Linked DNA regions of Sus scrofa. The protein of the gene in region 3 interacts with the protein of the main gene of each other region in a pairwise test. Links are inferred from orthologs where the notes say so. Each region holds a gene or a part of one and is shown on either strand. Other genes may lie near its edges. The genes, in order: SDCBP, OAS2 and CLK3.

Region 1 (11,490 bases), on a different chromosome or scaffold from region 3:
AGGTCCTAAAACATTGTGTCTTCAACTTTAAGTTCAAAAGGATAATCTGGAAATCTTGTTAATACAGATTCCTGAGTCCACAGAAACTGAAACAGCAAGTCTGGAGTAGGGTCTAGAAATCTGCCCTTTAACCCTCTGCATACAATCAGGGACCAATGGACACAATTTCACCTTTTGCGTTTCATTTTTCAGAAGTTTTACTTCGTGACTTTTACTCTTTCTTAGAGATATTAAAAAAAAAATTTAGAGTAAAATCACTCTACCTTAAAAATATCACAAGGGTTCAACTGGATCCTTTTATAAATCTAAGATCCATTACAGAATCTCAATGAATTTACTTTTCCCATAACTTGAAATATTTTTGCTATTTTATCTAGGAATTAATCATTACTCATCAGTTATTCCCTATTCCCAAGTATGCCAAAAAAAAAAAAAAAAAACTAAAATGACAGAAATAGGAACAAAAAGTAGAATCATTCCACTCAATTCATTCTAGGAATACATCATGTCATCCTTTAGCTTATACTGCCTAAAGTAGTGCATCCTTTTCTAAGGATGTATTAAGTTTGGAGAGAACACCTTTGTAGCTTTTTTTCAAATGTATTCATTGAACACTGCAGAAACTGAATTTTTACGACAACAAGGCAATTGGTCAGGTATGAGTTTTCAGATGAAGATATCTTAATTGAAACTCCTCAAACTCAAAATTCAATGAGTAAACAATATACCTGTACATAAAGAAATGTTTCAGTCATTCAGAAGGAAGAACTTTATCATGCAATATTTTGAAACAAGTCCTTGGATCCTGTTCTACTGAAAGGATATTACCATCTTCTTTCATCTTTTGTATCTATACATCAAAACTTACTTGACATGGTTTGTAAGTAGCCAAATGAAGGCAGGTGTTTAAACAAAGGTGACCAGATGAAAACAGTAATGCAGAGAAAATTTTAAGAATCTGTTGTGCTGATTATTCCAAATGGTGTTTATAAAAGTATAAGTGAAAATTTTTTCAAATACAGAAGTAGATGGTCATCCTCTCAAAGTCACAAGCAATTACAGTCTGCAAAAATACTGCATTTTTAACAATGCAAGTACAAAAATTACCAGAGAGTAATCTTAGAACATATTAGAGATGTACATGAAATCTAGAATCAGTATTGTTTTGACAGCCAAGAACTAAAAGTAATGATAAGCTAGGACATATTAGAGATGTAGGTGAAATCTAAAACAGTTTTTATAAAATGACTATCTTCCAACTTTATGGAAGACAGGTGGTGATGAGCAATCAGCTGTACTAAAAGATGCTGCCCATTTCAGCTACATCTATCTTCAAAACCAGGAAAATTTAGAATAAAAATTTGGGTTTCTTACATTTATTCAAGTTTTTATTAGAATTCTGTTTCTAATTAAGACTATTTCACTAAGCTTTTATTTTCACTTTTGCAAGTTATTCATAAAGTAATCTAAAATATAAAACAAAAATAAAAAATATCCATTGGACCCAATCGATAAATGGCAATGACCATGTTTTCTAGTACAATGAAGATTAATAAGCATTCCAGATGGTTCACATATGGTATCAAGGAGCATACTTTGAAAAATCCTAAACAGTCTTTTACAGCAATGTTTCTCAAATTTGGTTAATCATCATATCACAATTATTTGGGCACTAGTTAAAATAATTTCCCAGGCTGACACAGATTTCCTGGAAGGATTTAGGAATACTTCTTTTAATAAATATCCAGGGAGATTCTAATGATAAGCCATTGAGAACATGGTCTTATGAAGTCCACTCTAAGTAGAATTTTCTTTCCATAAGATTCCACTTCCCACCTATTAAATTGGCAAAAATTCAAAGTTAGTAACACTGCCAGATAGTAAGGCTTTAAGAAACACTCATACATTACTGCTCAAGTGTAAACTAGTACAATTTCCCTAAAGAGTGAGTTTGCAATATCTACCAAAATCATAAACCCAGTAATACTACTTCAGGTTTTAGTCTACAAACATATCTACACACAAAAAGGGAAAAATGTAAATAAAAGTTTATTCACTGAAACACCAACTGTAATAGCAAAAATTCTTAAAACAAAGGAGGTACTTCTACACAAAATACTGACAGAGATCCAAAATATCATTAACTAGAAAAAACAAAGCGTGATTTAGAGCAGTATATAAAGTATGCTTACATTTGTGTTAAAAGGGGGAACTTAAGGAATCAGAAAAAGCAGCACAAACTAAACAAACTAGAAGTAAGGAATTAAAGATTAGAACAGAGATAAATGAAACAGAGAATCGGAAAAATAAAGGAACATCAATGAAACCTAAATTTGGTTCTTCAAAAATATCAAAGTGACAAAGCTTTAGCTAAATGAACTAAGAAATAAAAAGAGAAAACAACATGTTAGTCTGAAATATTACCACTGAGTCTACAGAAATAAAACAGGTAAGAAAGCATTATGAATTGTACACTAAAAAATTAGATACCCTAGATGAAATGGACCAATTCCTAGAAACAAAATCTAGCAAGATTAAACAACAAAGAAAACAGAAAATCTGAATAGACCTATACCCAGTAAAGAGACCGAATCAGTAATCAAAAATCTCTCAACAAAGCAGAGCACTAGACATGACCAATTTATAGGTGAACTCTATTAAACACTTAAGGAAGAATTACTACCAATCCTTCTCAAAATTACACCAAAAAAATGAAAGAGAAGGAACACTTTCATTCTATGCAGACAGCATTACCTTGACATCAAAGCTGGATGAAGACACAAGAAAGAAAACTACAGACCAACAGCCCCTATGAACAATGATGCAAAAATCCTTAACAAGATACTAGGCAAGCGACCTCAGCTGCACATTAAAAAGATTAGCCACCTTTAAACAAATGGGGTTTATTTCTGGAATACAAAGATGGTTCAACATATGAAAACTGTTCAATGTAAGTAACATCAACAAAATGAAGAGAACAAACACAGTCATCTGACAAAATTCAACATCCTTTTACAATAAAAACACACTACGGAATAGGAGTAGAAGGAAACTACTTCCACATAATAAAAGCCGTATGTGCAAAACTATAGTACAATTGTACTAGTTAACATTTTAGCAGTAATGTATGAGTGTTTCAAACAGGTGAAAGACTAAACATTTTTTTCTCTGAGATTAGGAACAAGGCAAGGATGCCCACTTTCAAAACTACTCTTCAACATAATACTAGAAGTTCCATAAGCAATTAGGCAAGAAAAAGAAACAAAAGGCATCCAATTGGAAAAGATGTACAGTTTAACTCTTTCTAGATATGACCTTATTATATTTAAGATTTAGAAAGCCCTAAAGACTCCACACACACACACACACACACACACATAGAACTAATGAATTCAGCAATGTAACACAACAGTCAACAGGAAAACCAGCTGCATTTCTACACATAATGAGCAATCTAAAAAGGAAAACACAAAAACATTTCCATTTACAGTAACATCGAAAAGAAAAAAACTACTTAGGAGCTGTTTAATCAATGAGGTAAAGAACTTGTACAATAAAAACCTCAAAAAACTGCTGAAAAAAATAAAGAAAATACAACTAAATGTAAGCCTATCCCATGTCCAAGGACTGCTAGACCTAATATTAAAATGTCAATACTATCCAAAGGAATAACACAGAATCAATGCAATCCCTACTGAAACCTCAACTTTTTTTTTCAGAAATAGAAAAAAATCCTAAAATTCATATGGAATTTCAAGGAACCCAAAATACCCAACAATCTTGGGAAGAAAAAAAAACTGTAGAACTTGCACATCCTGATTTCAAAACTTACTAGAAAGCTACAGTATTTCAAAATGGTGTAGTACTGGCATAAAGATACGTCTTTACAAATGGAACAGAATGGACAGTGTAGAAATAAGCTCTTGTATATATACAAGGTCAAATGATTTTTGACAAGGGTGCCAAGACCATTCGACAGAAAAAGACAAGTCTTTTCAACAAATGGTGCTGGGAAAACTGGGTATCCATATGTAAATGAAAGAAGGTGGACCCTCACTTAATACCATAGGTACAAAAAATTACCTCAGAATGGATAAAGGATCTAAATGTAAGACTTTTCTCAAACAATAAAAACTCTTAAACCAGGACAAAAGATTCCTGACGCTGGATTCGGCAAAGATTTATTGGATATGACACCAAAGGAACAGGTACCAAAAGAAAAAAGATATATTGGTCTTCATGAAAATTTTTAAAATTTGTGCATCAAAAGACACTAACAATGGGAGTTCCCACTGTGGCTATGAACCCAACTAGTATCCATGAGGATGCAGGTTCCACACCTGGCCTCCCTCAGTGGATTAAGGATCTGGTATCGCCAGGAGCTGCAATTAAGGATTCGGGAGTTGCCAAATCAAAGATGCAGCTGGTATCTGGTGCTGCTGGGGCTAGCAGCTGCAGCTCTGATTTGACCCTTGGCCTGGGAACGTCCATATACCACAGGTGCGGCCCTTAAACAAACAAACAAAAAAATACTAATAGAGTAAAAAGACAATCCATGGAATGGGGAAAAAAAATTTGCAAATCAGATGTAAGAGATTAATACCCAGAACATTTAGAGAACTCCTAAAACAAAAAATAAAAATTAAAAACATAAAATCAGCAAAGATCCTAACTTGACATTTCTCCAAAGAATATAGAACAGCCAACAAGCACACGAAAAGATGCTCAAATCACTAATCATTATGGAAATGCCAATCAAAACCATGAGATACCAACTCTCACACCCACGAGAGTGACAACTATCAAAAAAAAGTGTTGGTGACACGTGGAAAAATCTGAACCCTTATTCACTGTTGGTGGAAATACAAAATGGCACAGGGGCCATAAAAAAAAAAGTGTGGCAGTTCCCCTAAAAAATTGAAAATAGAATTCTATATATATATCTAGCAATTCCATTTCTGGGTATACTCCCCCCAAAACTGAAATCTGCATCTGAAGAGAGATTTTTATATCTGTGTTCAGAGCAGCATTATTCACAGAGATAACTCAAACGTGGAGGCAACCCAAATTTCCACCAACAAACGAATGGATAAGCAAAATGTGGAATACACACACACGGAAATGTAATTTTGTTGCCTTAAAACGGAAGGAAATTCTGCAACACACAACTACATGGGTGAACTTGAGGACATTATGCTAAGTGAAATAAGCCACTCACATAAAAGACAAAAACTGATTCCACTTATGAGATCCTTAGTAGTCAAAATCATAAAGATATCAAGAACAGCAGTGCTTGACAGGGGCTGGGGGGAGACACTTTATACCACTCTTTGATTCAATGTTGAGCCATTTAACTGGTTACCTCTTCGGAAACTAAATAAATGGACAAAAAAATGTTGGTGGCATTTGCAAAGAAATTAATAAATGCGAAGATAACTATTACTAAATGTTAACAGGTGTTGTTTGGGAGAATCTATCTTTTACGAAACTCTTGGCATTTACTACCTAAAAAAGAAAGAACCTAAATCCAGCAGAAACAGGAAAAACAACAGGTGAGTCATGTTCATTTAGGAACTATTCTCTTCAACAGCAGGTTTATTGCCAACCACAGGTAAGTTCTTCCTCATGATTTTTACATTCTTCTTCTACCGCCCAATCGCAAAAATTACTGTTGCCAAAGTTAAATAGAGACTGTAACGGAATGACTATTTCCTGAACCTATTAAAAGGCATTTCCTTATTTTTATTTCGCAGCAAAAACCACATGATCCGTAATATTTACTCGCCATTTAAAGTTTATAAAGTACGGTGGCCACAGGGAAAATGGGAAAAACAAAACATTCTTACTGTTTGTCCTCAACCTCAGATTTTTAAAAATTACAGAATGGACAAATTTTAAAGTAATCACATATATAGTTGAGATAGAAATTACCAGCCTGCGATTGTTTTACCACATAATTTCCTTTTTTTAACCAATTATTTCCTTTGAAACAACTGGGTGTTATGAGTTTGGTGAACTACATATACTAAGAGCTGTGTATGGTGGAAAAAACAACAGTACACAAGTTATGCAGACACTACATACAGACTAGATAAAGCTAGACACTTCTTTTTAGAAGTTGGCACATTATAAGGCTCCATGACTCAATCCATTTTGGTGATAAAGGCAAACTTTCCATATCCTTTGGGCTCTGCTCTCACATCATTACAAGGAAATCCTGAAACGAAAGCTTTGAGTCACGAGCCCTCAAGGGACGTTTCCTTCGCAGCCGCGGAGCGGGAACCGCGGCTCCTTCCTCCAGCTTGTCCAGAAACCCGGCCCCGAGCAGCCTCCCCACCCCCACCCCCCCCCCACACAAAGTCAAGGCTTCACCCCAAGAGGACGCCTCCTACCTCCCGCCAGACAGGACGCTGCGGTGAGGTCGCCGAGAAAGAGCCCGGGGACGCGGCGCCCGGACGACCCGGAGACCGGAGCCGCCGCTGTCCCCTCACCGCCCGGGCCGCCTCCGGGAGGAACAAAAAGAGTCGAGGCGGCCGCGGGTGGGGGGCTGCGGGCCGACCACGGGCTCCGTCCTGGCCCCGGCCCCCAGTCCGCAGGGTCGCCGGCAGCCAAGGGAGCCGCTCGCGCAAACTTTCGCCCCGGGCCGCGGGCGCCGGGAGGGGCGCGGAGACCACCGACGACAGGGCGTCGCCGTCGACGCGAGTAGCTGCGCCGAGACGCCCCTCCACTAAGCGGCCCGGGGACTCTGCCCCTCCGGTTCCGTCCCCGAGCCCGGGACGCCGAGGGTGCGCCCCTCTTTCCCCCTGGTGCTCACCCCGGCCGTAGGTACCTGATCGCCGCCGCCGCCTCCGGTCACTGACTCGGACTTCCGAGACCCGGAGCGAGGAAGGCGGCGCGCGCCCGAGGACCGCCTGTGAGGCGCGTCACCGCGCCGCTCCCCCCTTCCGCTTGCGCAGGCGCGCAACGCTCTGTCAGGTGACCCCGTCGCCAGGGTAACAGGGCGCGGGCGGCTCAGCGGCCCCCACTATTGCAGAGATTGGGGATGTAGAGCCCCCCCTTCCCCCAGCCAACCTGCTCCCCTCTCTGGGCACTTCGTGACCAGCGACGCCACTCTTCGTCTGCCTCATTCATGATGGTTCCCATCACCTCGAACACAGGGAGCCCCGAAACCCTAGCCTTTGGCGATTTCTTGGCCAGCCTTGGACTTCTACCACCGTGGTCATATTCATCACCACCCTCTCGGTTGACCGCTCTACCTACAGGCTCTGAAGCCTTCCTCTCTCTAACCCTTCCCAACCCCTGCCCTCTTTGTGTTACAACTTGTTTGACTTTTTTTACCCTCTGCCCGTCTGAGCTAAAGTTCACGGGTTGTTGAGGGTTATGTGAGGTAGTGCACAATAGCTGTGTCCTAACACAAAAAGTGAAAAACTGTTTCTTAAGGGCTATGTTCCAGAAGATGTCCTAAGAACTTGATGTATACAGTAGTCTTATTTGATCCTTACGTCTATCTGAGATATTCTTGCTGTGTTTGGTTTGTTTGGTTTTTTTTTTTTTTTAACAACTGCAGGTACTGGCTTGTGAACTTCCCCAGGCCAGAGGTAGGATCACAGCTGCAGCTGCAGGCCTGCACCACAACCAGGGCAACACCGGTTTCAAGGCTCACCTGTGACCTACAGCTTGCAGCAACTGCTGGATCCTTAACCCACTGAGCGAGGCCAGGGATCAAACCTGCATCCTCAGAGACAAGGCTGGGTCCTTAACCAGCTGAGGCAAAACAGAACACTGAGGCAACATCTTTAGCTTGTGAAGACACTGAGGCACACTTTACCTAAATTTTCCATACTTACCATGGAGTAACAGAGCACTTGACAAAATAGCATTTATTACCTTAGAAGCATTTTATTTCTAGCTAAATTATTTAGTACACAATAACCTAATCTGGGGCAAAACTAGTAAAAGTCTGAGCATAAAAGAGGTGACAAGTATGTAATATGTAGACTGTGCCCTCAGAGTCTGAGGTCTAGGTGATAAAATAGATATTTAATTGGATTGGGAAGGAAGAAATAAAACTAGTTTTGTTCACAGGTGGCATGGGTTATATAGAAAGTCCCAAAGAATTGGCCAAAAAAAAAAAAAGTGGTTATAGCAAGGTAGCAGAATTCAAGTTTAACATATGAGCCAATTGTTTTCTTATATAACAGTAGTAAACAATTAGAATTTGAAATTAAAGGCACAATATCACTCATACTGGCACCAAAAAATGGAATAAAATAATTAGGTATAACTGACAAAAAATGCACAAAATCTATGTGAGGATAAGTATAAACATTCTAATGAAAGAAACCATAGTATTATACTAATAAATGTAATGATAGCCCATGTTCTTGGATAGGAAGACACATTATTGTCTTATATCAGTTTTTCCCAATTTGATACATTTGGCACAATCTCAGTCGAAATCCCAGCAAATTATTTTTGAATCCTAACAAACTGACTAAAAAGTTTTTACAGAATACAAAAGGCTCAGAGAGCCAACACAAAATGGAAGAAGGGGAACAAAGTCATGGGCCTGACTCTGCCCAGCATCAAAACCTACTATAAAGCTAGAGAAATCAGACAATGTGGGATTGGCAAAAGACTAGAAAAATAAATCAATGGAACAGGATACAGAGCCCAGAAATAGACATGCACAAATATATTCAACAGATCTCTGACTAAAGAGCAAAGGCATTTAATGGGTAGTCTTTTTTTTTTTTTTTTTTTTTTTTTTAAGGGCCACGCCTGTGGCATTTGGAAGTTCCCAGGCTAGGGGCTGAAGCAGACCTGCAGCTGCCAGCCACAGCTATGTAGGATCCCAGACACATCTTCGACCTATACCAAAGCTTATAGCAACGCTGGATCCTTAACTGACTGAGTGATGCCAGGGATTGAACCCTCATCCTCATGGATACTAGTCTTAACCCACTGAGCCACAATGGGAACTCCCAATGGATAGTTTTTTCTAATGGTACTAGGACAACTGGACCTCCGTATTCACAAGAAAAAAAAAATCTAGACAAGACCTTACACTTTTCACAAAAATTAATTTGAAATAGGTCATAGACCTAAACTTAGCACTCAAACCGATAAAACTTCTGGAAGATAACCTAGGAGAAAATCCAGTTGAACTCTGGTTTGGTCATAAGTTTTAAAATGAAGCACCAAAACCACAATCCACGCCAGAAATAAAAAAAAAAAATGACAAGATAAGACTTAATTAAAATGTAAAGTTTCTTCTTTGTGAAAGACATTGTTTAGAGAATGGAAAGATAAGTCACAAACTGGGAGAAAATACTCTTGCAAAATGCATATGTGATCAAGTCTTGCATCCAAAATATTCAAAGAACACCTAAACCTCAACAGTAAGAAAAGAACCCAATTTAAATCTGGGCAAAAGATCTGAATACACACCTCGCCCAAGAAGATCTACAGATGGCAAATGAGTGTATGAAAAGAGGCTCAACAGCATGACATTAGGGAACTGCAAAGTGAAATGACAATTTGAAATACACCACTACACACCTTTAGAATAGCTAAAATCCAAAACAATGCCGATGCCAAATAGCAATGAAGATGTGAAGCAACAGGAATTCTCACTCATTGCTGAGAGGAATATAAAGTACAACCAATTTAAAAGGCAATTTGGAAGTTCTTAAAAAGCTCAATGTAGTTTTGTATGAACCAATTATCCTGCTCATGTATATTTGTTCAAATGAGTTTAAAACTCAGGCCCACACAAAACTCTGCAGCTTTATTTATACGTGCTCAAAACTAGAAGCAAGCATGATATCTTTCAACAGGTAAATGGATAAACTCTGTTATGTCCATAAATGGATCATCCAGCAATGAAAACAAATGAACTATCAAGCCATGGAGGAACCTTAAACGCATATTGCTGTGTGAAAGAAACTAGTGTGAAAAAGCTACATCCTGTATGATCCCAACTATGTGACGTTCTGGGGGGAAAAGTAAAAACTTAAAGGCAGTAAAAACAACAGTGGTTGCCAGGGATTTGGAAAATATGGGATAAGATATGTGAACCCAAGGAAATTTTTTTAGGATGAAGCTATTTTATATGATACTATGGTGGTAAACACATGACATTATGGATTTATCGAAAACCACAGACAGGACAGCATGTGGTAAAACTATGTGTGTGTATATATATATTAGCCTTTGTCCCCAGTTTTGGATCAGAACTTCAAATACCCTTGAGTTGGACGTCCTGTCGTGGCTCAGCGAAAACGAATCTGACTAGCATCCATGAGGACACAGGTTCAATCCTTGGCCTAGCTTAGTGGGTTAAGGATCTGGCATTGCCATGAGCTGTGGTGTAGGTTGAAGGTGTGGCTTGGATTCTGTGTTGTTGTGGCTGTGACGTAGGCTGGCAGCTACACCTCGGATTTGACCCCTAGCCTGGGAAACTCCATATGCCATGGGTGCAACCCCACAAAGACAAAAAAACAAAAAAACAAAATAAACCCCACTGACAACTCATGAACCTCCAAGGGTGGTTATGTCGTAATTATGCTAATGAGGTGGCTCCTGGCTGGAGTGGGATTGAGGAGAGAGGGCTCCTCAAAGCTCTGTGATAATGGCTGGTCACCAGAAAGACCATACATGCGATTAGAGGGTTGGTACCTATAGCCCCACTCCCCAACCTTCAGGAAGGAGAGGGTGCTGAAGACTGAGTTCATGCCTGGGTCAATAATTCAGTCAATCATACCTGTGTAATGAAATTCCAAAGAAAAAGTCTGAACATCTGTGCTTGATGGCACGTCCTGGTTAGTGAATGTATCCATTTACCTGCCAGAAGAGTGTCCCCAGTTCATCAAGGACAGAGGCTCCGGCCCTTGGGACTCCTCTGGACCTTGTCCTGTGTGTCTCCTCATCTGGCTGTTTATTTGTATACTTTATAACAAAACAGCAATCAGAATTATAGTGCTTCCAGTGAGTTCTGTGAGTCACTGTTCAAACTTGAAGGGGCATTGTGGGTGTCTCTAAATCTGTAGCCACATTGGCCAGAAATAGATATCATGAAGATGCCATCTGTGGTCCTTATGTGATGTGGGTGCAGTCTCATTAGAGATCCTGTCCTTTGAGGAGTAGGAACTGATACTAACTCTGGGTAGCAGTGCCAGATTAAATGAAATTGTGGGACACCCACCATGGTGTCAAAGAACCCTTGATGGAAGGGAACACATGCTAGCCAGGAGTGAACCCTGATGTGCAATAATGTATCAAGATTGGTTCATCAATTGCAACAAATGTTCAGACACTTACACAGGAGGTTAAGAAAAGGGGAAATTGGGGAGATGGAAGTACATGAGAACTCTTGGTACTATTTCCTGAATTTTTCTGTAAACCTAAAACAGTTCTAAAAAAAGTCTATTAAAATATAATAATTACACAAATAGAGTTGCGATAGGTGTTGAAGAAAATGCTCAAGGG
Region 2 (10,809 bases), on a different chromosome or scaffold from region 3:
GACCTGTGTTTGCTCAGTGGCAGAACTGAAACCTGAGTGACTGAAGCTTTGCCTTGCTGTGTGTCCCTGAACAACAGACCCGCTTCAGGGTCTCTTTTGTCTCGCTGTGCTCATTGATTCTGAGTTCCAAGGCCACTGGGAATGGGGAGAAGGGAAAGAGCCTCAAAAGATGACCTCTGGGAAAATAATCTTTTTAAAATTATAAATAGAGATATAACTGCCTCATTTTGCTATACACCTGAAACCTAACACAATATTGTAAATTTATAAGTTATAGTTCGATGGAGAAAAAAAAAAAAGATGTCCTCTGGCCCCCTACGAAATATTGTTAAAAAGTATTTGCTTAACAAATACTTTATAGCCATCGTGTGCCCGGTTCTGTTCCAAGCAATATGCAAGTATTTAATCCTTACATTAAAGCTATGAGGAGTTCCCATCATGGCGCAGTGGTTAACGAATCCGACTAGGAACCATGAGGTTGCGGGTTCAGTCCCTGCCCTTGCTCAGTGGGTTAACGATCCGGCGTTGCCGTGAACTGTGGTGTAGGTCGCAGACGCGGCTCGGATCCCGAGTTGCTGTGGCTCTGGCGTAGGCCGGCGGCTACAGCTCCGATTGGACCCCTAGCCTGGGAACCTCCATATGCCACGGGAGCGGCCCAAGAAATAGCAAAAAGACAAAAAAAAAAAAAAAAAAAAAAAAGCTATGAGAAAGGTACTGTTGTTACCCCCATTTTACAGATAGGGAAATCAAAGCACAAAAAGGACCAACAATGTGCTCAAGGACACAGATCTAGTGTGTATCAAGCCCTCATGAGCCAGCGCCGGTGACTCCCCTTTTCACTACAGCAGCTGAGAGGCTGGCCGATAGTCATAGGGGCGGGGAAAATCCTGAGGCAGTCAGCTGGAAAGGCCCTGTGAGTTTCCTTTTCCCCTGTGATGAGTTTCGGTTTTCTGGCTCTGGGCATAAAAGTTCTCTTTCTCTTCTGCCTCCAGCTCAGCCATTAGCTGTCTTCTCAGCAGCCAGCCAGAGCAATGGGAAACTGGGGGTCCCATCTCTATGACCGGCCTCCTCAGAAACTGGGAGAGTTTGTCCAGAACAACCTGAGACCCTCTGAAGACTGTCAGAAACAGATCGACCAGACCGTGGACACCATCTGCAAAGTCCTGCAGGATGCTGAGCAGTTGCCCCTGGTGATAAGCGTGGCCAGAGTGAGTAGAGGGCTGGGGTCAGGCCTTCAGGGAGCCAGAGGGAAGAAAGACTTGGTGCTGAGCACCTACTGTGTGCCAGGCCCTGGGCACACAGACATCATCATATTCCCCATGCTGCTCAACTGAGATGGTGGGATACAGTACAGAGTTTAGGAGTACAGGTTGGGAGCTGGTTCTGCCTCTTACTACTGTGTGACCCAGAGCAGTTTGCTTAACCTCTCTGTGCCTTAGTGTCTGAGTCTATAAAATGGGAGAGCAATAATACTCATCACAAAATGTTAAGAGGCTTGAGCATATAATGTTCTTGCACAGGGCTTGGTACAAAGTTAGCACAAAAGAAGTTCCCATTTGGGGCAGCGGGTTAGGGATCCAGCATTGCCGCAGGTTGCAACTGTGGCATGGGTTCGATCTTTGGGCCGTAAACTTCCACATGCTTTGGCACAGCCAAAGAAAAAAAAAGTGAAATAAATTAGCTGTGATTACTGTTATTGCTTCTAATCTCCTTATTTTCCAGAGGGGTAAACTGAGGCTAGAAGACTTCAGTAAAGCTTCCTACCGATGCTCTGTGGTTTCAACAGCCAGGGGTGGGGCGCTCTCATCAGTTAGAAATGTTTGGTGCTACAGACACAAATCCTGGGGCTGAGACGGAAGATTCTGGACCTTTGGAGAAGAAAGGATGCTGAGAAGGTGCTAAGACCCTAGGGTAGGGAGAGGGCATTGTAGATGCCCAATCCCAGGCTCTCCAGCACTGGAATCCCGCTTCTCTGCAGTCACAGCGCTTTCTGGCTTCTGCCCTTACATGCATCCACTAGCCCCAGCAGTAAAGACATCCGAGCCTTTGGCGTCTTCTGCCTGGGCCCAGATGAGGAAACTGAGGCACGGGGAAGTTATTTAATAGTTGATATCCAATTTGGGATTGTAAGCGCTAGTGATCCGTTTGGGAGCTTGCACCCTTAACCCGAAGCCATCCTACCTCTCAACATTGTTAACTTTTTTCTAACACACGCAGCGCCGGGCGGCAGGGGAGTGGGGGCGGGGGCGGGTCGCCAAGCCGCGCGCGTGCGCGTGTGAGGCAGGGCGCTCCGCGGCCACCCCAGCGGAAGCGGAAGCGGAAGCAGGTGGAGCGCTAAGACCGCGCGGCCCCCGCTGCAGAGGCTTGAAAAATGCTCTCCTGCAGCTACCTGCTGTGTGCACAGATTTTGTCGGAGACTTGAAGGGGACGGAGCTTGACGCAGCTCTCTCCAACAAAGACCGAAATCTCCTCTCCGAGGCCTAAAAGAACGTGGTCGGTGCCCGGCGGTCTTCCTGGAGGGTCCGCAGCAGCCTTGAGCTTTAGAAAAGCAAGGCCGATGAGAACGGCGAAGGTGCAGGCTTATCGGGAGAAGATGGAGAAGGAGGGCTGGAGACGGGGTGCAAGGACGCACTGGCTCAGCTGGACGACCTCCTCATCGACAACTACACAACGGTTTCCTGTGCAAGGAAAGGTCTTCTACCTGAAGTTGAAGAGCGACTACTCTCGCTGCCTGGCCCAGGCGGCTCCCGGCGAGAAGGAAAACAGCGTGACCTAAGCCTTGGAAATCGGCAAAGAACATGTGCACCTGACGCACCCAGGCGGCTGGGCCTGGCCCTCAGCTTCTCCGGGTTCTATTACGAGATCCAGGAGGCGCGCAAGCAGCCCTGCCTCTTAGCCAAACAGGCCATCGAGGATACCAGAGCCGAGCTGGAGTCCTGCAAGGACTCCACGCTCATCATGCAGCTGCTGCGAGACAACCTCACCCTCTGGGCCAGCGACCCGTAGGACTGGGAAGCCAGAGAAGGCAACCAGGCGCCTTGCTGGGCTGACGGTTGCCCCGAGCCCAGGGGAGCTCCCTTTTCGAATCGTGCAGACAGGTGCGTCCAGCTGGTTTTACCACAACTGTCGGTCTAGGTAAAAGGCAGGAGATAGCAGTGGGGAAGTTAGGAAGGAGAGTTAGCCAGACAGGCTGCAGTAAGTATTCAAGGAATTCAGTGGGTAAAATAAATACTACTTTGGGGATATGATTTCCAAAACAAGCTGATAGCATTTCCTTAAGCAGTACTGCTGTGCATGCAAAAATGAATTCACCCCTCTCACCTCTTTCTTCAGCTAATGGAGAACAGGGGAAGCTGAGACCCTTGATTCTGTCAGTCAGCTTAATAACCATTTAATGTGCGGTTTCAGTAGTGCCTTGTTTGTTTTTTTCCTTTATACAGCCACACCTAGGTCATATGGAAGTTCCAGGCTTGGGGTCCGATATGACTGTAGCTGCTGGCCTTCACCACAGCCATAGCAATGCCAGATCCAAGCTGCCTCTGTGACCTACACTGCAGCTTGCCGCATCCCTAACCCACTAAGCAAGGCCAGGGATCGAACCCGCACACTCATGGAGACTATGTCAGGTTCTCAAACCACTGAGCCACAATGAGAACTCCCAGCACCTATTTTCCCTCTTTAAATTATGACATGGACAAACCTTTTCAATGCAATGCATCTAAAATTTTGATACCTGTGACTTTGGGAGTGTGTATGATTGTTTAAGAATCATAGATTTTCTGGAGTCCCCGTTGTGGCACAGTGGAAACGAATCTAAGAACCATGAGGTTGCGGGTTCCATCCCTGGCCTCGATCAGTGGGTTAAGGATCTGGCGTTGCTCTGAGCTGTGGTGTAGGTTGCAGACACGGCTCGGATCTGGCATGGCTGTGGCTTTGGCTGTGGCATAGGCCAGCGGCTATAGCTCCGATTCGACCCCTAGCCTGGAAACCTCCATATGCCACAGGTGCGGCCCTAAAAAGACAGAAAAGACCAAAAAAAAAGAATCAATGGATTTTCTTTTGTAACTCTTTGGCTATCGTCCTTGTGTATCCTGACAGCGCCAAGTGTGTCAGCCCATGTCAATCATGATGGGTGATTACAAAATGCCAGACATATATTAAATGTTTTGGAATTCAGTGGGTAAATAAATGCTACTTTGGGGATATGATCTCTTAAAAAATAATACATACAAAAAGTACACAGGAGGTTCCCATTGTGGCTCAGTGGGTTATGAATCCAACTATCCATGAGGATGTGGGTTCAGTCCCTGGCCTTGCTCAGTGGGTTAAAGATCTAGCGTTGCTGTGAACTGTGGTGTAGGTTGCAGATGCAGCTCAAATCCAGGATTGCTGTGGCTGTGAGGTAGGAAGTACAGATCCAAGTGTACAGCCTTATAGATTGCCACAAACAGCATATATGTGTAACCTACAGCCAGATGGAGAAATGAAATGTTTCCAGCCCCCACCCAAGAGCCCCTGAACCTCGCATCCAGTCACTACCCCCAAGCCCAAACAACCACTCTCCTGACTTCTAACAGCATAAATTCTTTTGGCTGGTCTTTAAACTCTGTATAAATATAAGGTGACCAGCTATCCCATTTGCCCAGAACTGAAGGGTTTTCTGGGACATGGGCCTCTTGGTGCCAAAACTGAGAATGTCCAGGGTAAGCCAGACAGGTTGTTCACCCTATGTAAAAGAAATCGTGCACCATGCAGCTTTAGTGGGGTTTTGGACCCATCTGTTGAAGAAATGTGTGTGGTTATGGGCAGCTGTTGTTTATCATTTCGTTGTTGTCCTGTATTCCATCATGTCGATACACTGCATTTGTCCATTCTGTTGCTGGTGGCCATTTGTGGCCTCCAGTCTGGAGCTGGAATGAAAAGCGATGCTGGGGGCGTCTTGGGTGGTCACATGAACCAGACTTTTAGGCTCTGGTGACATGGAGCTTTTGCTTGTGTTGAGAAACATTTCTACCTGCTGGGGCACCCTGTGACCCCCCCCCCCCCCACACACACACACACACAAATGGTTCAGAGGCTCACATCGGCTTCTCTGTTGCTGACAGGGTGGCTCGTACGGCCGGAAAACAGTCTTGAGGGGCAACTCTGATGGTTCCCTTGTCATCTTCATCAGTGACCTTGAGAAATTCCAGGATCAGAGTAAAAACCACTCTGAGCTCCTCAGCCAAATCTGGGCACAGTTGAAATGCTGTCAGCTCACAAGGAAGCTGGAAGCCAAGATGGAGATCCAGAACTTCAACAGTGGGCCCACCACCATCCAGCTGTTCGCTAAAGAGCAGAGCATCACTTTCAAGATCCTGCCCGCCTTCAATGCTCTAGGTGAGCCCTCCTGGGTGTGTGTGGGGTGGTGGGGTGTGTAACAGGTCTGGAGGGGCTTGTGCAGAGAGCAAAGCCAAAGAAAAGGGTGGTGGATAGCCTGAGGGTGGCATAAATACCATTGGTGCTTTCCAAAATGAAGGACTTTCAAGAGAGGCGCTTCCTCCTGCCCTGAACTTACTCTCTTCTTTAGAATGACTCTCCGTCTTCTAATTAGGAGAAAATGTTCTAGACTCTAGAATCTAGAGCTTCTCACACTGTGACGTGCACACAGATCATATGAGCAACTTGTTAAAATGCAGGTTCTGATTCAGAAGATCTGGGTCCGGGATTCTGCTTTTGTTTTTTGGTTTTTTGGGTTTTTTTTAAGGGCCGCACCTGGAAGTTCCCAGGCCAGGTGTGGAATCAGAGCTATAGCTGCTGGCCTACGTCACAGCAACAGTCACAGCAACAAGGGATCCGAGCCATGGCTGTGATCTACATCGCAGCTCATGGCAGCAGTGGATCCTTAACCCACTGAGCGAAGCCAAGGATTGAACCCATGTCATCATGGATACTAGTTAGTTTCATTATAGCTGAGCCGCAATAGGAACTCCAGGGATTCTGTATTTCTAACCAGTGCCATGATGTTGCTTCTGGTCTGTGTACCATACTTGAGGATTTAGACTAGAATAAATGTTCATTAGAGGAAGAAGATGGAGCAGACATCTGGGGAGAGTTTGGATGGGGCAGATTTTTGACATCTGCCTTCTAATCAGGTTAACATTGATGCAAGGATTTTCCATGGGTAGCTATTTGAATGGATAAATGTTGGGGAGTTCCCATCGTGGTACAGTGGAAACAAATCCAACTAGGAACCATGAGGTTGTAGGTTCGATCCCTGGCCTCCATCAGTGGGTTAAGGATCGGGCCTTGCCGTGAGCTGTGGTGTGGGTCTCAGACTCGGCTCGGATCTGGTGTGGCTGTGGCGTAGGCCAGCAGCTGCAGCTCCAATTAGACCCCTAGCCTGGGAACCTCCATATGCCGTGGGTGTGGCCCTAAAAATACAAAAAAGAAAACAAAAAAAAAGGTAAATGGTTGGATGTATGGATAGGTGGATAGTTGGATGGATGGATGGTTGATTGAATAAACAAGTCTCAGTAGTTATAGCTTAGTCTATAGGTACATATATTATCACAAGCTGAAAATGCACTAATTTATAAGGTAGGCAGCCCCGAATTCTTATCCTGCTCCCACTATAACCCACTTTTGCCATCAGTAAGATCAGGCTAGAAACGGCTACCTTCTAAGCCCTTTAGGACAATAAGGGTTGAGAATACTTGCCTGCCTCAAACCGGGGCTGGAGTCAAGGTGAAGGGGCACAGTGTCACTGAGAATTCTTGGAAATCCTGTTCTTCCCTCTGGTTCAGAGCCGGGTGGTTGGAGATGAGGCCCGGGCGCCCTCTGCTGGGTTCGCCCATCCTTCGAGGATGGTGTGAGAAAAAGAAATCAGCTCTTCCTCATGTGTAAGAATCAGAAGCTGCCACCAGATGGCGGTAGAGCTACACATTCCAAACATCCCTTTTCTAGAGGAAAACAATCATGGTTGCTTTCTGAGAAAAGTAACCTAACTGGGGGATTTTAAAATTACTTTTTACTAAATATGAGCCTAACTAATCTGGCCTGCTCTTCACACCAGCTCCAAGCCAACCTCTTTCACCTCTACGTCCCTTTCCACAGCCATGTACCACCACTGCTCTCTCCCCAGGGTCTTTGACCCAAAGCACGACTCTTCTATTTACTTGACTTCTTGGTGTTTCAGCTTCCTCATCTGTAAGTGAGCAGCTGATTGCACGAACCACATGAGAGTTTTGTGAGGCTCACATATTTCCCTCTACAGGAAGGGCTTAAACTGTGCCTGGCATAGAGTAAGCACTCAGTCCATGTTAGCTGTATTATTGTTGTTATGAAGACGGCGGAATGCTTTTTCCGTCCGCCTCTCTGCCGCAAGTGCACAGAACCATGCCTGGCTGATAGTAAGACGTCAGTAAGTATCTGTCAAGGTGAATGATAAGAATAATCCGGCTGCTGTCTCCTGGTTTATCTAAACCGTAGGGCTCAGCTGGCAAGAAAGGAAACCCTATGATTAAATTCTGGACTCTCTTGCCATCTCCTCCACTGTCCTTGCTTTCTCGTTTCCCTACCAGTGGTGTTCAAACTCCGGTGAGTATCAGAATCAGAAGGGAAACTTAGTAGAAAATACAGAGGCCCAAGTGGGGATACTCTCTCCCACTGGAGTATCCGATCTGCAGAGCTAATATGGAAAACTCTGAGTCCCAGGCTCACTGACCCAGGAGGCTCCTGGGCCTGTGTTCCCCGATTGGCTCCACAGCAGGATTCCGGGAGGCACCCAGTTTGCCCCTCGTCAGCCCCATCTCCTGGGGTTCCACTCTGCAGGGCGTGCGCCTGCCCACAGGCCTTCATCCCCAGCCTCCAGCACTCTGCCTTCACCCTGCCCGCCTGCACCCTTGACCCTCTGATTTAGAAATTCACTGGACAGGCTCGATAGCAGAATATACCACATGAGGTATATAAACATTATTGTCTTCCAGATGGGTGCCAGCGGCGCCAGGGCCATTTTTTTAAAGAAACCATCCTTTCCCTACTCATTTGGATCCCCCCTTTTGCATTTGTAACTGTGTCTCCTGTCCCTCCGTTTGGTCCTACTGACCTTTCTTAGGACAGCCCCATACCGTGTCCATAAGACTCATTTTAGAGTCTATGCTTTATTGTCTAGCAGGACAAGCCACCCCTCACCTTTTACGCAAATCTACCAGTTCTCTTAGGGACGAGGCAGGGAATGTGTGGGCTCACCAAGGTCAAGTTCCATGAATACTAAAAGTTCCACGGGTCTCTTTGATACCAGGCTTAAGTGAGAAGCCCAGCCCCTGGACCTATCGAGACCTCAAAAGATCCTTGGATATGATGAAAGCCAGCCCTGGCGAGTTCTCAGTCTGCTTCACTGAACTCCAGGAGAGGTTTTTTAATAACCTTCCCAGAAAACTGAAGGATTTGATCCTCTTGGTAAAGTACTGGTATCAACAGGTAAATTTCAAAGTGCGCGTCTATTGCTACATCCATTTCCCTTTCACTGAGATAATTCACATCCGGCAAAGTACAGCAAGCTGAAGAATACGGCTCTGCGCCTTTTTCTGTCCTTTTAGGCAACACCCAGATCAAGATGGGGCACATTTCCTGCACCCCAGCGGGCCGCCTACTCACAGGCAGTCCTCGCCCCAAACGAACCCTTGTCCTGACATTGGTCACCACAAATTAGTTTCACTTGCTTTTCACTCAGTGTCAATAGAATCAGACTATGTGCGTCACATCTGCCCTCTTTCGCTCCATATTATGCCTAAGAGGTTCGTCCATGTTGTTGCATGTGCTAGTGGGTGTTCGTTGCTTTGTTCTGGTCCCTTGCATTAATACACTGAACATTGACACATTCCACTGCTGAAGGAAATTTAGGTGGTTCTCAGATTGGGGCTGTTATGAATTAGGTTATGATGGATATTTCCCTACATGTCTTTTTGTGACTTTGAGCACTCATTTCTCTTGGGTAAATATGCAGGCATGAGACTGCTGTGCTGTAAGGCATACCATATGCATGTGTGTGTGTGTGTATGCACCTTGTGTATATGCGTTATAGGTATACACATACAATTAGGTGTATATGTAAATATACACGTACACGTACATGCCATGCCGTGTACCAGATCACACTGCCAGCAGCAATGTGTGACAGCTTCAGGGGCTCAACATTCTTGTCAACACTTGGAATTGTCAGTCCATCGAATTTGAGCCATGGTGTCATTTTGGTCATCGGCAGGGGACAGTGACTTCCTATAGACTTCCGGTTCCTTGATTTCGGACCCTTAGCATGGAAGGAACGGTCCCCATTTAACTGCTGCCTTTTTCTTTGCCCGCAGTGCCAGGAAAAGCTGGCGGTTTCATTCCAGCTGCCGGTGTATGCTCTGGAGCTGCTCACAGTCTACGCATGGGAACAGGGCTGTGGAGCAGAAGACTTTGACATAGCTGAAGGCCTCAGGACGGTCCTGGGGCTCATCAGGAAGCCAGGAGAGCTGTGTGTCTACTGGACAGTCAACTACAACTTCGAAGATGAGACCGTGCGCAACGTCCTGCTGGGCCAGCTCAGGGCGCGAAGGTAGCACGCCTCCCACCACCCCCTCTCCTTGCCTCTTCATCTGCAGGCCAGGCTGTGCCCGCTTAGAATAAGGGCGCTTCCTCATCCTCCCCCAGCTCATTTCTTCTCCCACCAGCAGCCCAACTGATTTTTTTTTTTTTTAATCCAATGGAATTTATAGGCCAGTAATCCTGGATCCAACGGACCCAACCAATAACGTGAGCCAAGATAATTCGTGCTGGCACCTGCTAAAACTAGAAGCTGAAACCTGGTTGTCTTTTCTGAACGAGTCACCTGGACCATCTTGGAATGTTCTGGTGAGAGGGCTTTTCCAAGCCAGTGCATGTCCTGCTGTGGGCAGCACACCCCCCCCCAGTCCCCTGCCCCCCACCAACACTCGGCCTGCGGCTTCATCCAGGCTCTCCATGTGTCAGTTTCCTAGAGTTGCCGTGAAACCACACTGTACACCGGTGGCTTAAAGCAACAGAAGTGGATTCTTTCACAGGTTTGGGGGCTCCAAGTCCAAGATCAAGGTGCCAGCAGGGCCGCGCCCCCTCGAAAATTTCCAGGGTCAAATCCTTCCAGGCCTCTCCCAGCTTCTGAGGGTTGCTGGCATCGTGGCTTGTGGCAGTAGCCCTCCACTCTGCCTCCCTTGTCACACAGCCTCCTCTTGTGTGTCCACAGTGCCTCCTGTCCCTGTGTCTCTCTCCTCTCTTCTAAGGACACCAGTCATACCAGATGAGGGTGCATAGTGGTGACCTCGTCTTAACTTGGTCACCTCTTTGCAAAGACCCATTTTCCAAATCAGGTCACATTCATAGGTCCCGGAGGTTGGGCTTCCACATGTCTTTTCAGGGGACACAATCCAAATCCATAACACTCCACGAGGAGCCTGCCCTCCCACTGAAAGGAAGGTCAAGTGCAAAACTGAACAAAGAGAAAAGGGGGCCACAGATGAAATCGAGCGGAGGAGTGGGTGGCAGTCACCCCTGCAGATGCCAGGATAGGCTCTGAGCTCCAGTCGGGCAGGGGCAGAGGACCAGAGTGAGACGGGAGGCTGGAAAGGGGAGGACGGTCAGAGGGGCAGCCGTGAAGAGAGGCACTGGCCTCTCCCCGCCCTTCCCCAGAGGAAGAGCAAATCTATCCGCACCAACTGCCTTGCACTCTTGGGGCTTAGCAGAGGACAGTCCCACAAGAATGTTCTCTGGTTACACCAGTGAACCCATTCAGCTTTTATGGGGGTCATGGGG
Region 3 (9,664 bases):
ACAGCTTTGGGGCTGGCAGCCTAACCTCAGCAGATTTTCTTCTCTGCTGGCATCTTGCAAATGCCCTACAGGGGTGGTGCTGAGGGTAAGGGATGTGCAGAGCAGGAACTATTAGAATCCTGATTGGACACTGAACAAGGGCTCCTGGCCACTCAGTGATCTCTGATAAATACTATGGCTGGTAGGCAGGCAGGCGGGGCCGGGGGCACGGGGTGTGGTAAGGCTCCCAGTGAGAGGAACCTATCATTGGTACCCTTACCCTCTTGCCTGCCAGGCTTTCACTCCATCCTGGAACTCCCGCCCCAGGGGGAGCTGTTTGCCCAGACGTGTCAGTGTGCTCCAGGAGGGGCGTGGGGGCCGCAAGAGGGTTCTGAGTGGGGTGGCCTAGCCAGGGTCAGGACCGACTGCCTGCAGGTTGGGTCATGAGTGAGTTCTGGCCTGGCACTCGTCAGCAGGATAGGGCTCTACTCCTCTGTACACCGCCCCCTGGGAGCTGGCAGTGGCCAAGGTCATAAAAGCCTAAGGCTGGCATGGATGCCAAGAGCAGCTTGCTCTTGGGAGGGTAGAGGTATGGTGTTGCATGGGGCAGGCTGCGTGTCAAGAATCTGCTCTCTTCAGGGCAAGCCCTATTCCTGGAGTCCTGAGCAGGGTTTGCCAGGAGTTGCTGGGTTGGGGTGGAGGGTGGGGGAAGGGCGGCATGGCTTCTCATGAGAACTTTTGCTTCCTTCCTCGATCCCAGAGGGAAGTCTCAGGTTGCCCTGAAGATCATCCGCAACGTGGGCAAGTACCGGGAGGCCGCCCGGCTAGAAATCAATGTGCTTAAAAAAATCAAGGAGAAGGACAAAGAGAACAAGTTGTGAGTGTCAGCAGGAAAGAGGAGGGACGCTTCTAAGGGTACCGCGTCCACTGCAGCCCCAGCTGCCCAGACACCCTGGGGCTGAGCTGTGCCCTTTGACGTGGTTGGCACCCTGCCTTCTCCCTGTGCCCAGAGCCGGGGGAGTTTGTCAAGTGAGTCTCGCTGGAAGGAGCCTTTGGATTTCAGTACAGGCTCCAGCACAACCAGCTCTGTGTTCTGAGGCAGGCCTCCCAGGCTTGTATTTTCTATTGGGGCTTCAGTGGGGTTCTCAGGTAGTCGGAGGAGAGCCGCCTTGGGCACACAGGCGCTGTGCTGAGCCCTGCAAGCTGTCAGGAAGCTCAGCTGAGGGAGTTGGAGGAAAGCAGTGCAGGTCTGTGGAGTGTACTGGTCTTATCCCATCTCTTTCTGAGATGCAGGGATTATGTCCATAATTTTCTTGGCATGTATCCACATCCTGTGTGTGACCCAGTGGCCTGGGAGAGAGCGGGGATGGCTTCACCTGAAGGAGGGGGTGGGGCAGCCAGCCCCCAGCACGGACCCTGAGCCCCACCCATCCTTCTCCTCCAGCCTGTGCGTCTTGATGTCTGACTGGTTCAACTTCCATGGTCACATGTGCATCGCCTTTGAGCTCCTGGGCAAGAACACCTTTGAGTTCCTGAAGGAGAATAACTTCCAGCCTTACCCTCTACCGCATGTCCGGCACATGGCCTACCAGCTCTGCCACGCCCTTAGATGTGAGTTTCCACCTTCAGGTGGAGCATGGGGCAGCCACATAGCTGCAGCCAAGTCACCTGGCAGTCTTGCTCCCCATCATTCACACCAGCACGTTGCTAACTATTTGCTGAGCCTGAGACACCAGGGCCACTTTGGCTGAAAGGCCTTGAAGTGGGCGACTGTGGGGATGGAGAGGCTGCAGTCCCCTCCAGGGGCCTCCTGAGCAATCTTCTGCCCCCAGGCACTCGGGAAGAGGTAAAAGCAAAGAGCTGTTCTGAAATAGGCCTGGTACCCCCCCCACTCCCACCTTCCTGCTTAGGATGAAAAGGTCAAAGACTAACCTGGCAGACAGATCCCACCCACCACATAGACACCCTGTCTCACCACACTTCCCATCTGTCTGCCAACCTCACAGAGCATATCTGCTGGTGCCTATGCCCGGCACTGCAGTATTTGCAGTGGTTGGAACAGGTCAGAGAGGCTAGTTGGAGAGGAGGTGGATAGACCTAGAGCTAGACTGCCAGGCCTGCATAGATGATGGGACGGGGGAGCATTCCAAGCAGTGTGAGCCGCTTAGTGATGGCCCAGAGCCTGGCAGGTGCTGAAACTCACTCTGGTGAAGAGAGGGCCCGTGTTGGGAGAGGTGGGCTGCACCGTTGTGAGGGTCTTCAGTGCCAGGTGGGGAAAGTGGTGAGTGACAGAGTACAGCCATCAGTGTGATGGGGGTTGGATGAAAAAGGCGGACTCCGAGCCCCCACTCAGGGCTAGGGATGAGGCACAGGACTGGCTTTGTAGGTGGCCCTATGTTGGTTTAATGCTCTGTTGCTATCATCTTTTTTGTTGTCTTTTTTAGGACTGCACCCAAGGCATATGGAGGTTCCCAGGATAGGGGTCCAGTTGGAGCTACAGCTGCCGGCCTATGTCAGAGGTACGGCAACACTAGATCCGAGCCAAGTCTGCAACCTCCACCACAGCTCACGGCAATGCCAGATCCTTAACCCACTGAGCAAGGCCAGGGATTGAACCCGCAACCTCATGGATGCTAGTTGGATTCATTTCCACTGTGCCACGACAGGAACTCCTGTTCATATCATCTTGAGGTTTTTTTTTTTTTTTTTCTGGCTGGGGAAAAATTCCTCAGCATGCAGAAATTCCTGGGCCATGGATCAGACGTGCGCCACAGCTGCGGCCCAAGTCACAGCAGTGACAGTGCCACATTCTTAACCCCTCTTGCCACCAGGGGAACACCCTGAGATTCTTAGTAATTTTTGAATAAGGGGACGTGCATATTCCTTTTGCCCTGGACTTCAAATATTACGTAGCTCGTGGTGGGGAGTGGGAACCACCCCAGGGCTGATGCTGCAACTCTGGTGAGACAGGCTGAGGAGGCCTGGTCCCCCACAGACAGATGGAGGGAGGTTTTCTAAATGAAAAAAGTCTGCCGTATCCCCACTTCTCAAGTATCAGAATGCTTCAAGGTCCTAAGCACAGAGAACTCTGGAGAAAGAAGCCAGTGCAGGAGTTCCCATTATGGCTCAGCGGTTAACGAACCCAACTAGCATCCATGAGGACATGGGTTTGATCCCTAGCCTCGCTCAGTGGGTTCAGGATCTGGCGTTGCTGTGAGCTGTGGTGTAGATTGCATATGCGGCTCGGATCCTGCGTTGCTGTGGCTGTGGTGTAGGCTGGCAGCTCCAGCCCCAATTTGACTCTCAGCCTGAGAGCCTCCATATGCCTCTGGTGCGGCCCTAAAAAAAGGAAAAAGACAAAAAAAAAAAAGCCAGTGCAGCAGCAGTTCAGTCTGCCCGCTGGCTCACTGCTGAGGTTAGGGGCTGAGAGGCTCTGGCAGGCTGGCTTTGGGGGCGGGATCTGGCCCAGCGCTTGCAGCGAGGCCAGAGAAAAGTCCAGGTTCCCAGCATCCGCTTCCCTCCTCTCCTGCTTCCCCAGTTCTACACGAGAACCAACTGACCCACACAGACTTGAAGCCAGAGAACATCCTGTTTGTGAACTCGGAGTTTGAAACCCTCTACAATGAGCACAAGGTATTGGAGGGGGAAGGAGTAAGCCCCTGCTCCAGGGTTGGGTTACCCACCAGGGCAGACTCTTGACCCGGCTCCCCCTCCTTGCCCTTCAGAGCTGTGAGGAGAAGTCTGTGAAGAACACCAGCATCCGAGTGGCTGACTTCGGCAGTGCTACCTTTGACCACGAGCATCACACAACTATCGTGGCCACCCGTCACTATCGCCCACCTGAGGTCATCCTCGGTAAGTGACTGTGTAGCTCCCAACCCTGATAAAGTGGGCAGTTGTTGGAAGGTATGGTGCCTGTCTGCCACCTGGGGCTGGTGTCCTGAGTCACTGTGGCTGTTGACTTGGCCTTATCAAGAAAGGGACTTCAGAGTTTGGGGCAAGAATCATGCCAGGCAGTGTGGTAGTTGCCCTGTGACCTCCAGGCTGGGAACCCAGGGCTGAATCTCATAGCCTCTCCCATCTTGGCTTTCAGAGCTGGGCTGGGCACAGCCCTGTGACGTCTGGAGCATTGGCTGCATTCTGTTTGAGTACTACCGGGGCTTCACACTCTTCCAGGTATGGCCTCTCCCATGTCCCCCCACTGCCTTAAGCACTGCTGCTCTGACAGGCTGCAGCGGCCTAGTGTGGGAAGCCCTCCCACCGCTTACCAGCACGCATGGTGTGAGACTGACCCCTGAGGGTTCTAGGTGCCCAGGGGAAGGACGAGATCAGGGTGGCCGGAACACTCCGGGACTCTTGTGATCAGCCTTTCAGGATGGAGGCTTGGGATGGGAGGAACGAGCATTCCAGGCAAAGGGGCACAGCTATGAGCGAGGGCATGGAGATGGGCACCTTCTGGGGAGTGAGGAATGGAGCAGGAATGAACTCATGGGGTTCACCTGAACGGGGAGGGTCAAGAAGTCCGACCCTGACCTTGCAAGGAGAATAGGTTGGCCTCATCCCTGGCCCCAGGCTGCCACAGGTCAGAAAGGCTAGGACTGCTGTAGGTTTCCATCTCCTGGGGCAGGGAGGAAACTTTTGCCCCTTCTTCTCTGAGGGGGCTAAGGCTGGCACTGACCCCTGGTTGCTCTGTCCCACCCTTCCACAGACCCATGAGAATCGAGAACATTTGGTGATGATGGAAAAGATCCTAGGGCCCATCCCATCCCACATGATCCACCGGACCAGGTAAGGAGGCCTCGGCTCGGGGCCTTTCCTTCCTTCCTTAGAGAGACCTGGCAAAGCTGCTGTCCAGACCTTCCTGCCAGGTCAGCTCAGGATCCCCCACCTGGCCTTGCTGCTGGGCTCCTGGCTGCTGCTGTCTTTTCCACTGAAGACTTGACCCTTCCTGTCCTTCATTTTCAGGAAACAGAAGTATTTCTACAAAGGGGGCCTGGTTTGGGATGAGAACAGCTCTGACGGCCGGTATGTGAAGGAGAACTGCAAACCTCTGAAGGTCAGTTTCTGGCTTCCCCCAGTTCAATGCATGCCAAGGGGACCCCAGGCACTGGGCAGACACACAGCAGCGAGACAGGCCAGGCAGCCAAAGGCTGCCTCCTCACTCCAGCTCTATGGGAGTTGGGTGCTGGCAGTGGGGCTTCTTGCAGACTGCCCCAGAGGGCCCCTTAGCCCTACCCCATCCCCACAAGGTGGCTGTGAATGTAATCGGGGAGCACCCGGGGGGCCAGATGTCAGAAGCCCTTCTAGTTCCTGCCCCCCCCCCCCCAATCTGGGGAAGAACTTAAGCAGGACTGAGGTGGGATGGGGGGAGACCTAGACATGGCCAGGAAGCCGCTGTCAACTGCATTTGGTGCTCAGATGTGGATTTCACAGAGGTGCTCCCTACTCACCTGTCTGAACTTTGCGTGTGGGGCAGAGGCACCAAGCCAGGGAGACACCTAGTAGCCTGCCGAGTTCAGAGCAAACATGATTACTGGCATGAAGAGCTGCTCTCAGTCCGAGAGGGCAGTAGTCCTCCAGGCGGGGAGGTACCACTGCCTCCTCAGCCACACAGCAAGGCTTCCCATGGCCCTGTCATCACACTGAGGCACCTTGTGTCCCTGAGCAGAGTTACATGCTCCAAGACTCGCTGGAGCACGTGCAGCTGTTTGACCTGATGAGGAAGATGTTAGAATTCGACCCTGCCCAGCGCATTACACTGGCGGAGGCCCTGCTGCACCCCTTCTTTGCTGGCCTGACCCCTGAGGAGCGGTCCTTCCACACCAGCCGCAACCCAAGCAGATGACAGGCACAGGCCACTGCGCCAGGAGATGGAGAGTGGGACTGGGCTGCCCGGCCCTTTTCTCCAACCTCTACCATTGGCCCCAGGGCCAGAGCCACCCACGAACAGTGCAATGTGAAGGCAGGCAGGAGCCTGCAGGGGAGGAGACTTGATGCCCAGCTGCCAGAAAGCACAGATTTGACCCAAGCTATTTATATGTTGTAAAGTTATAATAAAGTGTTTCTTACTGTTTGTAACCCCTGGTACCAGTGTGTCCGTCTCCAGGCTCCCTGCCTTCTCCCTTCCCTACTTTATTAATAAAGTCTTTCTTAGTAGCTGAGCTTGTGGAGAGCTAAGTGTGAACTGGGCCAGGCACAGAAGGGCTAGCCAGTGAAAAGACCAGCAGCTCAGGTCCCTTGGGGCCCAGAAGAGCAGTTATAGCCCTGAGGTGGTAGGTCTGCTAAATAGTTCTGAAAGGCACCTGCTCCCCTGCTGGCCCTTGGCCCTCTCAGCCCCCAAGGAATGTAAGCAGTAGCCCCCTGTAGTCAGCCAGGCAGCACCTGGTTGTACCTATCCTTCCAGGCCTGTCCCTGGCTGGGGCTTGAGGCTGTATGTGCCCAATAACTGGTTTACTGAAAGCTGTCAAGTGTAAGAAAGAATCAAGGCAGGCTCCTAGGGCTGGGGAGGCAGTACCTCACTGCAGCCTAGAGAGCAATGCACCAGAGCACAGACTCGGTCACTCAGCTTTATTTTAGTGCTGGTTTTTGGTTCCCCAGAAGCTGCATGAGTGATGGTCTCAGCCACCTGACTGAGGACTGAGCATCGTGGGCAGGATGCCCCTGAAAAGAGCTGACAACAGAGGAACATGCTTTTCTCTAACACCACTGGGGAAGGCCCAGGCCGGGGTGGGGAGAGGCTCCAATGCTGCCTGGAGAGAAAAGAGGGAAAGCCTTGGCCACTAACAATTCCCTGTGGCTCCTCAACACAAGGCCAGCACCCCAGGGCCACTGTGACTTACTGGAGCAAGCAGAGTCTTCTGGGCCAGGGTTCTTCTAGCTCTTTTTCACTGCACCCAATCAGGGGACCTACCTGCATTAACCGGAAGCCAGGGCTGGGTTAACGACTGCTTACCAAAATGCCTGTAATCTTGCACTGCTCCTCAGTTTACAGCCCTGCTTCTATAAAGAGAGGGCCCCATGTGGGGAGCTTCTTGGCCCTGAGAGTAAGCAGAGGCTCAGGAAGGATATACAGCACGGGATTCACAGTCGCTGACCTTCCACTGCTAGAGACAATTCAGCATTTGAAGGAGGATGGGAGGAAAGGAGGGACCAGCCCTCTGCCCTGCCTCATCTGCTCCTGGCTATGCTCCTATAAGAAAGTGAAAGTAGCCTGAAACCCATGGTGCCAGGGCCTACCCTGTGTCCACAATCCTTGCCAAGCCCTTTTACTCACCCCCTTAACCAGAGTGAGTGGGCACAGAGCAGAAGCCTGAAGCCCTGAAAGAGGCTTTAAAGCACAAGCCTTTTGCAAGAGCCTCTCCCAGAAACTTCGGGGCATGGCTCCTGTCCTGCCAGCCTCCAGGGCCTAGGCCTGTGAATGTCCACGGGCTCAGTGCATAGGATCTGAGCAGCACAATGTTCTTCAGGCTGAGCACCCCCCAGCTAGCTCATCTAGAACTAGCCTCATTTTGGCATCTTTGAGACAGGGCGCTGGCCCTGAGCCTACTCATCTAGAAAGGACAAAGAGGGTTCAAGGCCCAGACACTGTAAAAGCTGGGGTGGAGCCCAAAGGGGAGAGACATGCACCCTGCTCTGGGATCACAGCTGCAGAGGACCACTGCAGAGGAAGGGCAGAGGGGGTAGAAGAGAAGACGGGTATGTGTGTGCAGGCAGGGAGCGGAGGGGAGTGGTGGCCTAGGACAGAAGCACCAGGGAGCCTCTTCTGGCTCAGCACCAGGCTCCCCCTGGGGCCTCCCCAATACTAAACATTAAAGCTGCACCCTGAGGGGTCTGGCCCCAGACTAGGCAAAGGCTCAGCCCCCAGCTAGAGAGTATGGGTTTGGGGCGGGGGGCACTGCTGGCAAGATGGGCACTGTGGTTCTCTAGTAACATAACCTTATACTACCTGTACTGAAGACAACAGAAAAACAGTAAAAAATTCCAATATAGTAAAACAATTCTGATGCCACCCCCACTTCTCTGCCTCTCAGAGTGATGGAGTGGGAAGGAGGAAGGAATCTTAGAAAAAAAAAATAACAAAAAACAAAACTCCAGCATAAAACTTAGATCAGCTCAGGAGAAAGGGTCAAAAGCCCCCAAATCAACTTATGGTGGGGCTCAGAGAAGACCTCAAAGCCCTCAGATTACATGGAGGACGCAAGTCTGCCCTCTAGTGGGCAACTGCAGCACAGCCAGTTCTACATGATCGGTAAGGGCTGCTTGGGGGGAGGAAGCAGGGGAGACAAAGCCACAAGCTCTGAAACAGAGCAAGCACAGGCCCCTAAACAGAACTGCCCCACCCCATGAGGCGCTCGTCCAGGTCCAGTGGCTGTAAACCTGAAACACAGTCTGTGAGCTGCCTATGTCTGTAAACAAAGCCCCATCTGACCACACGGGGGCTGAGTGTATGGATCCCTGGACCCACCATCCACTCAGCCTGCCACCTGCCCCGCACACCCAGTGGGGAGGCCTTCCCTGGCTAAGGGCAGGTGACAGGTCAGTTTTAAATACCATCTGTTCTCTCAAAGAAACAAATGCAAACGAAAAAATTGAACAAGGTCCATGAAGTTTCACATCCTTAAGGCGTTCGTTGTCAAGTTCAGTATCAGGAGCAGCGGGGGGACCGCAAGGTCCAGCCTGCCTAGAGCCCTTCTAGGCGGAGTGCAGTGGGATGACAAACTTGCAGCCAAAGGGCGAGTGGTAGTTGATGCCCACCTCCTGGAACACCTGCTGGGGAATGCCGATGTCGCACAGATAGACGCGGCCGGCATGCTCCCCTAAAGGCAGAGGCAGGCCCAGAGCCAGCGACCACTTGGCATCGATGCCCTGTTCAACTTCATGCACAGGAGGGTCTATGCTGAGTACTGGCGCTCGGTTCTGGTTGGCCCAGGCCACAGCTGCCTTGTACCAGGGCTGATCCCGCAGGAAGGCATTCTCGGGGCAATCCAGGCAGTTGATCACCAGGTCCACAGGGCTAGTGGGCAGATCTGCAGGTGGAAAGAGTGCCATCTGAAAACCCCTACGAATCAGAGAGCAGCCCAGGCAGGGGACCAGAACCAAGGTGGCCCCAAGAGTGATGCCACTCCACCACTCTGATGACGCTGCAGGGGCCACCTTTTACTGATTCCACCACTACCATGCTGCCTCCGCCACATCATTTCCCTCTCCAGTTACCCCAACAGCCTTCACACCGCTCACTGTAACAATCTTCTCTCAAATAACAGCTAAAATGATCATCTGCAACCTGAGCTGGATTATCTCTCTTCTTATCCTTCCATTGACTCTCCATCTCACCCAGAGTAACAGGTCAAATCCTTACAATAATCTATGATTAGACCCTAAATGTTTAAGTCTGCTACCTTTCACCCAACCCGCCAACAATCTCTATCTCCCTCCACTCCCTTCTTCCTTCCTTTCTTTTTACAGCCGCCCTGAGGCATATGGAAGTCCTTGGGCAGGGTGGAATCAGAGCTACAGCTGCTGGCCTACGCCACAGCCACACCAATGCAGGATCCGAGCTGAGCTGCAACCTACACCACAGCTCATGGCAACGCTGGATCCTTAACCCACTGAGCAAGGCCAGGGATCGAACCTGTGTCCTCATGGATACTACTGGGATTTGTTTCTGCTGAGCCACGACAGGAAC

Evidence for each region.
Region 1: the proteins of CLK3 (region 3) and SDCBP interact in binary tests that used the Homo sapiens proteins (3 or more experiments, as listed by UniProt). The two-hybrid records come from large-scale screens. The link is inferred for Sus scrofa from reciprocal best matches to the Homo sapiens genes CLK3 and SDCBP.
Region 2: the proteins of CLK3 (region 3) and OAS2 interact in binary tests that used the Homo sapiens proteins (3 or more experiments, as listed by UniProt). The two-hybrid records come from large-scale screens. The link is inferred for Sus scrofa from reciprocal best matches to the Homo sapiens genes CLK3 and OAS2.

Annotation. Positions count from the first base shown.
Region 1 is NC_010446.5:74,321,684-74,333,173, forward strand, and holds the start of SDCBP (syntenin-1 CG9291-PB), read right to left. Parts: upstream 6,875-11,490; 5' UTR 6,815-6,874; intron 1-6,814. UniProt on the Homo sapiens protein: Multifunctional adapter protein involved in diverse array of functions including trafficking of transmembrane proteins, neuro and immunomodulation, exosome biogenesis, and tumorigenesis.
Region 2 is NC_010456.5:38,837,825-38,848,633, reverse strand, and holds the start of OAS2 (2'-5'-oligoadenylate synthase 2), read left to right. Parts: upstream 1-936; 5' UTR 937-1,031; coding exon 1,032-1,208; intron 1,209-2,479; exon of another isoform or gene 2,480-3,098; intron 3,099-5,105; coding exon 5,106-5,379; intron 5,380-8,281; coding exon 8,282-8,460; intron 8,461-9,344; coding exon 9,345-9,580; intron 9,581-9,740; coding exon 9,741-9,876; intron 9,877-10,809.
Region 3 is NC_010449.5:58,891,809-58,901,472, reverse strand, and holds the end of CLK3 (dual specificity protein kinase CLK3), read left to right. Parts: exon of another isoform or gene 1-739; coding exon 740-856; exon of another isoform or gene 857-1,008; intron 1,009-1,423; coding exon 1,424-1,590; intron 1,591-3,517; coding exon 3,518-3,612; intron 3,613-3,704; coding exon 3,705-3,834; intron 3,835-4,072; coding exon 4,073-4,155; intron 4,156-4,687; coding exon 4,688-4,767; intron 4,768-4,944; coding exon 4,945-5,035; intron 5,036-5,647; coding exon 5,648-5,824; 3' UTR 5,825-6,066; downstream 6,067-9,664. Other genes in the region: EDC3 (enhancer of mRNA-decapping protein 3), read right to left, coding at 8,671-9,005. UniProt on the Homo sapiens protein: Dual specificity kinase acting on both serine/threonine and tyrosine-containing substrates. Phosphorylates serine- and arginine-rich (SR) proteins of the spliceosomal complex.